2 linked regions of the Callithrix jacchus genome follow. The protein of the gene in region 2 interacts with the protein of the main gene of each other region in a biochemical or structural test. Links are inferred from orthologs where the notes say so. Each region holds a gene or a part of one and is shown on either strand. Other genes may lie near its edges. The genes, in order: UBE2W and RNF4.

Region 1 (3,910 bases), on a different chromosome or scaffold from region 2:
CCTGTAGTCTCAGCTACTTGGGAGACTGAGGCGGAGGTTGCAGTGAGCAGAGATTGCACCACTGCACTCCAGCCTGGGCTACAGAGCAAGAAAAAAAAAAGACACTACCAGAAAATCTACACTAGACATTTTAAAATACAAATAAAAAGGAAAGATTTTTTATTTTAATAAAAACAGGAAGCATCTGTTTTCCATTCCTCTAACCAGAAAACATAGACTAGAGAGTGATAAGATTTAGACAGAATACGTGACGGGAAAAACTTTAAAAAGTGATAAAACAGCCGGGGGACAGTGGCTCACACCTGTAATCCCAGCACTTTGGGAGAGCGAGGCGGGCGATCACGAGGTTAGGAGATGGAGACCATCCTGGCCAACATGGTGAAACCCCATCACTACTAAAAATACAAAAACATTTGCCAGGTATGGTGGCGTGTGCCTGTAGTCCCAGCTACTCAAGAGGCTGAGGCAGGGGAATCGCTTGAACCCGGGCTGCGGAGAACGCCGTTGAGCCGAGATCGTGCCACTGCACTACAGCCTGGGTTAGAGAGGATGAGTCCGTCTTAAAAATAAATAAATAAATAAAGGCCAGGCGCGGTGGCTCACGCCTGTATTCCCAGCACTTTAAGAGGCCAAGGCAGGCGGATCAGGAGGTCAAGAGATAGAGACCATCCTGGCCAACATGGTGAAACCCCGTCTCTACTAAAAAAATACAAAAATTAGCTGGGCGTGGTGGCGTGCTCCTGTAGTCCCAGCTACTCGGGAGGCTGAGGCTTGCTTAAAACCGGGAGGCAGACGTTGCAGTGAGCCGAGACCGTGCCACTGCACTCCACCCTGGCGCCTGGCGACAGAGCAAGACTCTGTCTCAAAAGCAAAAACCAAAGTGATAAGACAGTCTAAGGTAGTAACACTTAGGGCACAGGAAAACGCACTATTGCACTATCAATCAAGTATTTGTTTCCATTGCTTAGGACACTATGTAAAGTTCAAGATTACCAACTTCTCTCATAAACAAATCTGTCTTTACCAGACACTCAATCTAACCAGATAACACACTAAGTTCTCTTGTCAAATATTATCATAAGTATTGTGGATTTTAATGTTAATCTTTAGCCTCAAATTACGTTTTAATCTTAATACCGATAATCTTAAGCTCATAAAAAATGTTTTCATCTTAACACATAAAATCTTTAAGTGGTCCTGTAGCCTATTGCGTCTACTGTTCAACTAGGATTCCACAGTTCCTTTTTCAGCCTCAAATGACGAAACTTCTCTAACGTCTCTGGGGAAACTAGTGTAAAGTATAACGTTTCCTGAAATTGTTCTTGTTTTTTCCCTGCACCATTCGTGACATCTCTTCAACTAGAAATGTTATATAAAACTTTTATGTTCTGCAGGCAAGTCCAGAGGGAGAAGCAAAGGTAAAAAGAATACTGTAAGGAAAACAGGTTGAAAGGGGAATAACATAAAAGCACAGGAGTAAATGTGAAGCAAAGAAATATTTATACAAAAGAGGAAGAAGATGCAAAAAAGGGAAGAAAAACACTTTCAGCAGAGAAAAGAAAAAAAAAAGGAGGGGGAACAGAGACTTGCTTCTTCCAGAAACAAAAGCAAAAAACACTTCTAAGAAAACGTGGTCTCTCTTTACCCAAGGGGATGTTAATAAAATGCTAAAAGGTATTCAGCTGACACTCCTATTTAGAGGTCTACTTTCTCTTCCTATGTCCTTTGATACTGCTCGTCTTCATCAATGAATTAAATGCAGGGTATACATAACACAGTCAATATCTACAAAACTACAATTGTGGTTGCCATCTTTGCCTGCAAAAATAATTAAAACAACTCCCTGGTTTCGGGGAAAAGGGGTAAATTAAGTTGGAAAACCAGAAAACCCCACTTGCTAAGTGGGGTAGAAATGACACAGGTTAACAAACGCCTCCTACCCATTTAGATTCTACTGAAGGTCTGGGTAGTTAAGGGCAACAACAAGTAGCTTTACCTCGACCGCAAGGGTGGGGCATTGTAGGGGAAAACAAAATAGAGGGCGAACTATCCCGAGAGGTTTAAGGGGGCTGAGGACTCGGCTCTCGGGAGACTGTCCATCAGGCGGTGGACTCGGGCAGCTTCGAGAGGAAGGAGACAGTGGACTGCTGGAGGAATGTCAGTGAGAATGCCGGTGCAGATGGAAAGAGAAGGTACCCACGAGCACAGAATTAAGAGTCAAGGGAAGAAGAGAGGCCCGGCGTGGGAGGCCGGAGCAGAGGCCGCTGAGCGCCGTCTGCAGCTAGCCGCCCTCTCCCGAGACGCCTTCTCGGCTCCACCACACTCAGCCCCTCGCCGCCCCTGCCCGGGCTACAACCGCGGGCGCAGCTGTTTCCGTCGGGCCAGGGACAGCGGGAGAAAGGCAACCGTGGGGCTGGCGGGGAGCAGACTGGCAGCGGGTGTGTGTGTGTGTGTGTGTGTGTGTGTGCGCGCGCGCGCGCGGAGCGGATTTTGAGACCGGAACGCCAGACTTCGCCCTTTCTCCCCCAAGCCTCCTTTATCACCCAACTTCCCAGTCGGCTGGTGTCCCCTTCGACCGACGGATACCGCACCACCCCCCACCCCACCACCCGACGCCTCTCGCCGCTTCTCACCCCTCCCCCGACGCCCTGAGCGGAGAGAAAACAGACTACCCTGACCGATCCCGAACCCGCCCGGGTGTCCCCGAATCGCGGACACCGCCCCCGCCCGAACGCTGGCACCCTCTTGGCGGCTCCCTGGCCCGCCCAGATGCAGCAAACTCCTCTCACCTGCATTGACGCCATGATGGAACCATCCCCCCACAGCCGGCGAGGCCAGAGACGCAGGGGGCGGAGCTGCCGTGCTCGCGTCACGCCGCGGGGGCTCAACATCCCCGGCGCGGGGGCGGGATCTGTAAAGGGAAGGGGATAGCGCGAGGGGATTGGCTGGCACGCTAGGCGAACGGGAGGAGGGACCGTGGGGCGGTGCGAGGGGACGGTAAATGGCGCTGTGAGTACCTTCGGTCACAGTTGGACTCGCAGGTCCCGAGTCTGGCTCCTGATTACTCTTTATCGAGGACACACGGCTCCAGTTTTGACTCGGCTACGGTTGTTTTCTTCGTCTGTACCGCGAAATCCTTATGACGTCCGGATCTGCGCAGCTTTTTTCTGTTCGTTTTGTTTTTCCAAGCACAGCTGTGCGGTACAGATTTTTCCCTTGGGATGTGCCTTCCCTACTACCAAGCCCACTCTCAGAGCCTTGGGGCCCCATAAAACTTCCCGCGCAGCTACTTTCTGGTCTTTGGAGACTTGGAAGGTTTCTTGGGGGATTTTTTTTTGAGACGAAGTCTCGCTCTGACGGCTTCTAGTATTCTTAATTTGGAGAAGAGAGACATAGGTTTCCTTGTACAACGGGATGAGGATGTAAGAGCAGAACAACACTGATATTTTAAAGGCGAGGATATTTAGATTTGTGGAGCTGAAACTTGCCTGAAAAGGGAGAGAAAATTTGGAAGTTTCTAAGCTGTGTGCAGTTTCTGCCCCTTACTCCAACTATTGTTGATACATGTGAAGTTTTAAACTTCACATGTATCAACAATAGTTACCGTTGTTGGGGCAGTCTAAATTTGATTAGCGAGTTGACCCCAGGCATTAATTTTTTTTAAATGTTATAATATACACTTATACCATTATGTCCAGACTTCTCTTAAGCCTATTTCGTGGTGGTTTTATGGTCATTTAGGGATTAACTTGGGTAGGGAAAGCTGAGCATACATAATTTATTTTAGGAATGCACCAGTTCTGCCAACATTTATCAGAAGTCACGTTTGAAGAAAGCTATTCTGGAACTGAAGATGTCATTGGTTTATGAGAGGAAAATGGAAGCCAAAAGCCTGCACCTCATGCTCTAT
Region 2 (3,810 bases):
TCACTGCAGCTTCAATGTTCCAGGCTCGTGTGATCCTCCCACCTCAGCCTCCCACATCTGGCTAGTTTTTTTATTTGTAGAGACAGGGTCTTGCTATGTTGTCCAGGCTGGTGTGGAACTCCTGAGCTCAAGCAATCTGGCCAATGTGTTTTATTTTCTTGTATCATAAAGTCTCACAAGAATAAAAACCATGATAATCTTAGATGTACAATATTAATTTATACAAAAATCACTGCATTCTTTATCTAAAAGAAGGGCTGCCCAACAGTCCATATACTGATATACAATAATTTATTGAACCGTTCTCTTTCTGGTGAACACAACTCTGAGCTCTTACAAAAACAATGCTCTAATGGGCAGCCCTAGGCACACACCCTTGCACAGGGGTAAGACTGCCTTGAGGATAACAAGTGCCACGTTGGGAAGCAGCTGGTTCCTTTCTGGTTTAGAGACAGGGTCCTAGCCTCTAGTGAAGTAAGTCAGAACATTAAAGAACTCACTTGTAGACATGAAACTCAGAGACCACAGAGAATTTCACTACTCTTGGGGGGGGCCCATTTTGCACTACATTGTTTCTCTTTAAAATGCCAGCTTGCAGGCATCCTAGTTATAAAAATAATATATGCAGGGCAAAGGGACTTAACTCAGGCTGGCCAACAACCACTTCTTGAGCAGGAAGAAAGGAGAAATCCAATCTGATCTCTGCCCACACCAAGTTCCAACACAGGAAGCTATGTGGACAGATTTACCTTCTTGGGTGATTTTAGGTCTTAATGAAAAACAGAAGAGGAAAGTCAAGTACTTTACAAGGTCAAGTGAATTGGAAGATGCAATTTTAAATAGAAAAGGTGGGCCATCTCATTTGCACTGGAGATTTTTCCTTTTCCTTTTCTTTTTTTTTTTGAGACAGAGTCTCTCTCCGTCACCAGGCTGGAGTGCAATGGCGCAACCTCAGCTCACTGAAACTTCCGCCTCCACGGTTCAAGCAATTCGCCTGCCTCAGCTTCCCAAGTAGCTGGGACTACAGGCACATGCCACCATGCCCAGCTAATTTTCGTATTTTTAGTAGAGACGAGGTTTCACCATGTTGGCCAGGATGGTCTCGATCTCTTGACTCCGTGATCCACCCACCTGGGCCTCCCAAAGTGCTAGGATTACAGGCATGAGCCACCGAGCCCAGCCGATTTTTCTTTTTTAAAGCTGGGCCCTTGAGTTGTAAATGGTGAGTGTGAGACTGCATAAGCCTTTTAAAGACACTAAAACACCTTCTCATAGCTCACCCTGCTGCAGTGTTCTCTCTACACTTTAACACCCACAGTTGTAGTGCCCTGGCAATCTTTATTTTTTTTTGAGACGTAGTTTCGCTTGTTACCCAGGCTGGAGTGCAATGGCGCGATCTCAGCTCACCGCAACCTCCGCCTCCTGGGTTCAAGCAATTCTCCTGCCTCAGCCTCCTGAATAGCTGGGATTACAGGCACGTGCCACTATGCCCAGCTAATTTTTTGTATTTTTAGTAGAGACGGGGTTTCACCATGTTGACCAGGACGGTCTCGATCTCTTGACCTCGTGATCGACCCGCCTCGGCCTCCCAAAGTGCTGGGATTACAGTCTTGAGCCACTGCACCCAGCCACCCCTGGCAATCTTACCAGTTTCCACGAGTTCTATGGGTTCTGCTTCCAAGGAAATCTCTGGGGTAAAGGCTGCTTCCCGAGTTCGCTTCTGGGCTTGTCTAGAATTTATTGCTCCACCACGACGCTTTCTCTGAGTAGCAAGGAGGAAAGAATAAGTCACATGACCACCAGAATGTCAGGGTTTCAGGAAGAACTAAAAGGGCAACACTAGAAACAGTTGAACTCATTAAGAAGCCAGTGAGTAGACTTGAAGTTAGAGCTCCTTTCCAGAATACTAAATGCTTAGAGAGAGAAAACCATCCAAAACATACAATGAGCAGAAATTCTAGAAAGTAAAACTTCTGTTATATTAAGCCCTTTTTGTTTCTTAAAGTAAAGAACCTCAAGTATTCTGAGTTTCTATACGTTGTGGAAAGCTGATCTTACCTTGGGAAATGTGGCCTTGAACCTTTCAGGATTTATCAAATGTGATTCACACCAGACAATCATCTCCCACAAAGAACCAAAGCTGTTTCAAGCCTGTTCCCAGTGGCTGTCCAAGAGCCATGTCTTCCAGAAGGTTCAGACTCTTAAGTGGTGGATCTGCAAATGACACTGACCAGCCTTCCTTCCACATCCTTAGGGCTGCTGGTTTGCCAATATGCTCCAGCATTTCTGGTCTGGCTGGTCCCAGATGATGAGCTGAGAACATCCTCTCCCTTCATCAGGAGACAGACCTTCCCAACAGAGCCTGTCAGTTGTTATTCGCACTGTGTTTCCGTGCTCTTCTCCCCTCTGCCCTGCCCTGCTCTGCCTCGCACCTGACCACCTGGGACACGTACTGCACTACTAAGTCTCAAGTTCCTCACCAGTACCAGCCTTGAACAGCTGTTACAAGGACTAAATGAGATCATTATGCAAAGTACTGTGCAGAGATGGAAGATGCTACTAATGCCCCAATTCCTTAGCCTTACTGGGGTCATTCTGACCCAAGAAACTCTGAAAGGACCAGATACTGAAGGTGAGATTCATATAAGACCCAGGAACACCCACCACACAGCCAAGCCCTTGCTAGGCAACAGGGCTAAGCCTAATTCTATTTGTGTTCCAATGCTACTCTATCAAATGACAGCTTGAGATATTTTGGAAATGAAGCTGGGTCTAGCAACTTCTCATGGACTAAGGAACACAGAACCAGCCCCAGGAGGGCCCAGAGGCCAAGTGAGCAACTGCTCGTTGTCTCAAGGGAGCTGACACTAACCTCAGGGGAGTTCTACTGCCCAATGCTTTAAGGGTTTCTCCAGCAGCCACCAGGTTACTTAGGACTCTTTCATATTTACTCCCTTCTCTTTGACAACGGCCTTGTAGCCTCCTTCCCTTGCAGCAGACCAAGTCTGTCTTACTAGACACTGCTAAGGAGATCTTCATGCCCTACACGGCTACCTGTGTTGTTTCTGGGCCCCATGGAGGGAGCCAAAAAGGTAGCCATAGGTCCTGGACCCTAAATCTCCCTGCATGGTTGATTACAGAAATGCCCCCACCCCTCCCTAACCCCAGGAGTCCTCTTTCCTGTCTGCTCCTCCAGGCCTTTCACCGGAGCCTCTTCCCTGCCTGGAGTGCCCATCCCTCCCTTTCTTCACTTGGCCAATTCTTGCACAGCTTTCCAGAATCCACTTAAATGTCACCTCCCTCCTGAAGACACCTTTAACCCTCCCACTCTACTGTCTCTGAGCCTCCTCCTCCCAAGTAGCTTCCCTGGACCACTCAGGACAGGCTCAGTAAGTCTAGGAATATTTGCAGAGCTCTCCCCTCTTGCCCTCCCATAATTCTGGTCATGACTGTCCTCCTTTTAACTAGCAGGGCCCTCCAGGTCTGTAGCTTCTAGTGAAAACTGACCATCTAATCACAACCACACAAGCTACAACCACACCATAATTTCAGGAATTTTAACCAATTTCTTCACACACACTTATAAAAGGCTAGGTTCTTTTGCCTGTTCTGATCTGGCCTAGGCAGAGATGGGGCTTCAGAGGTAGGGCTTAGAACATCCATTTCCCTACAGGTGAGCTATGTGGTGATCTGCAGGTGAAGCACCAAGGTGGGAGGGAGGTCAGAGAAGCAGACTTTTTTGTGTATCACATCAAAAGTGGGTCTTGGAGCACAATGGGGGCCAGGAATGGTCCGGAAGTAACAGAAGAG

Evidence for each region.
Region 1: the proteins of RNF4 (region 2) and UBE2W form a complex in vitro, tested with the Homo sapiens proteins (2 studies listed by BioGRID). The link is inferred for Callithrix jacchus from reciprocal best matches to the Homo sapiens genes RNF4 and UBE2W.

The regions. Positions count from the first base shown.
Region 1 is NC_133517.1:29,573,076-29,576,985, forward strand, and holds the start of UBE2W (ubiquitin-conjugating enzyme E2 W), read right to left. Parts: upstream 2,894-3,910; 5' UTR 2,892-2,893; coding exon 2,790-2,891; intron 1-2,789. UniProt on the Homo sapiens protein: Accepts ubiquitin from the E1 complex and catalyzes its covalent attachment to other proteins.
Region 2 is NC_133504.1:190,653,851-190,657,660, forward strand, and holds part of RNF4 (E3 ubiquitin-protein ligase RNF4), read right to left. Parts: intron 1,763-3,810; coding exon 1,648-1,762; intron 1-1,647. UniProt on the Homo sapiens protein: E3 ubiquitin-protein ligase which binds polysumoylated chains covalently attached to proteins and mediates 'Lys-6'-, 'Lys-11'-, 'Lys-48'- and 'Lys-63'-linked polyubiquitination of those substrates and their subsequent targeting to the proteasome for degradation.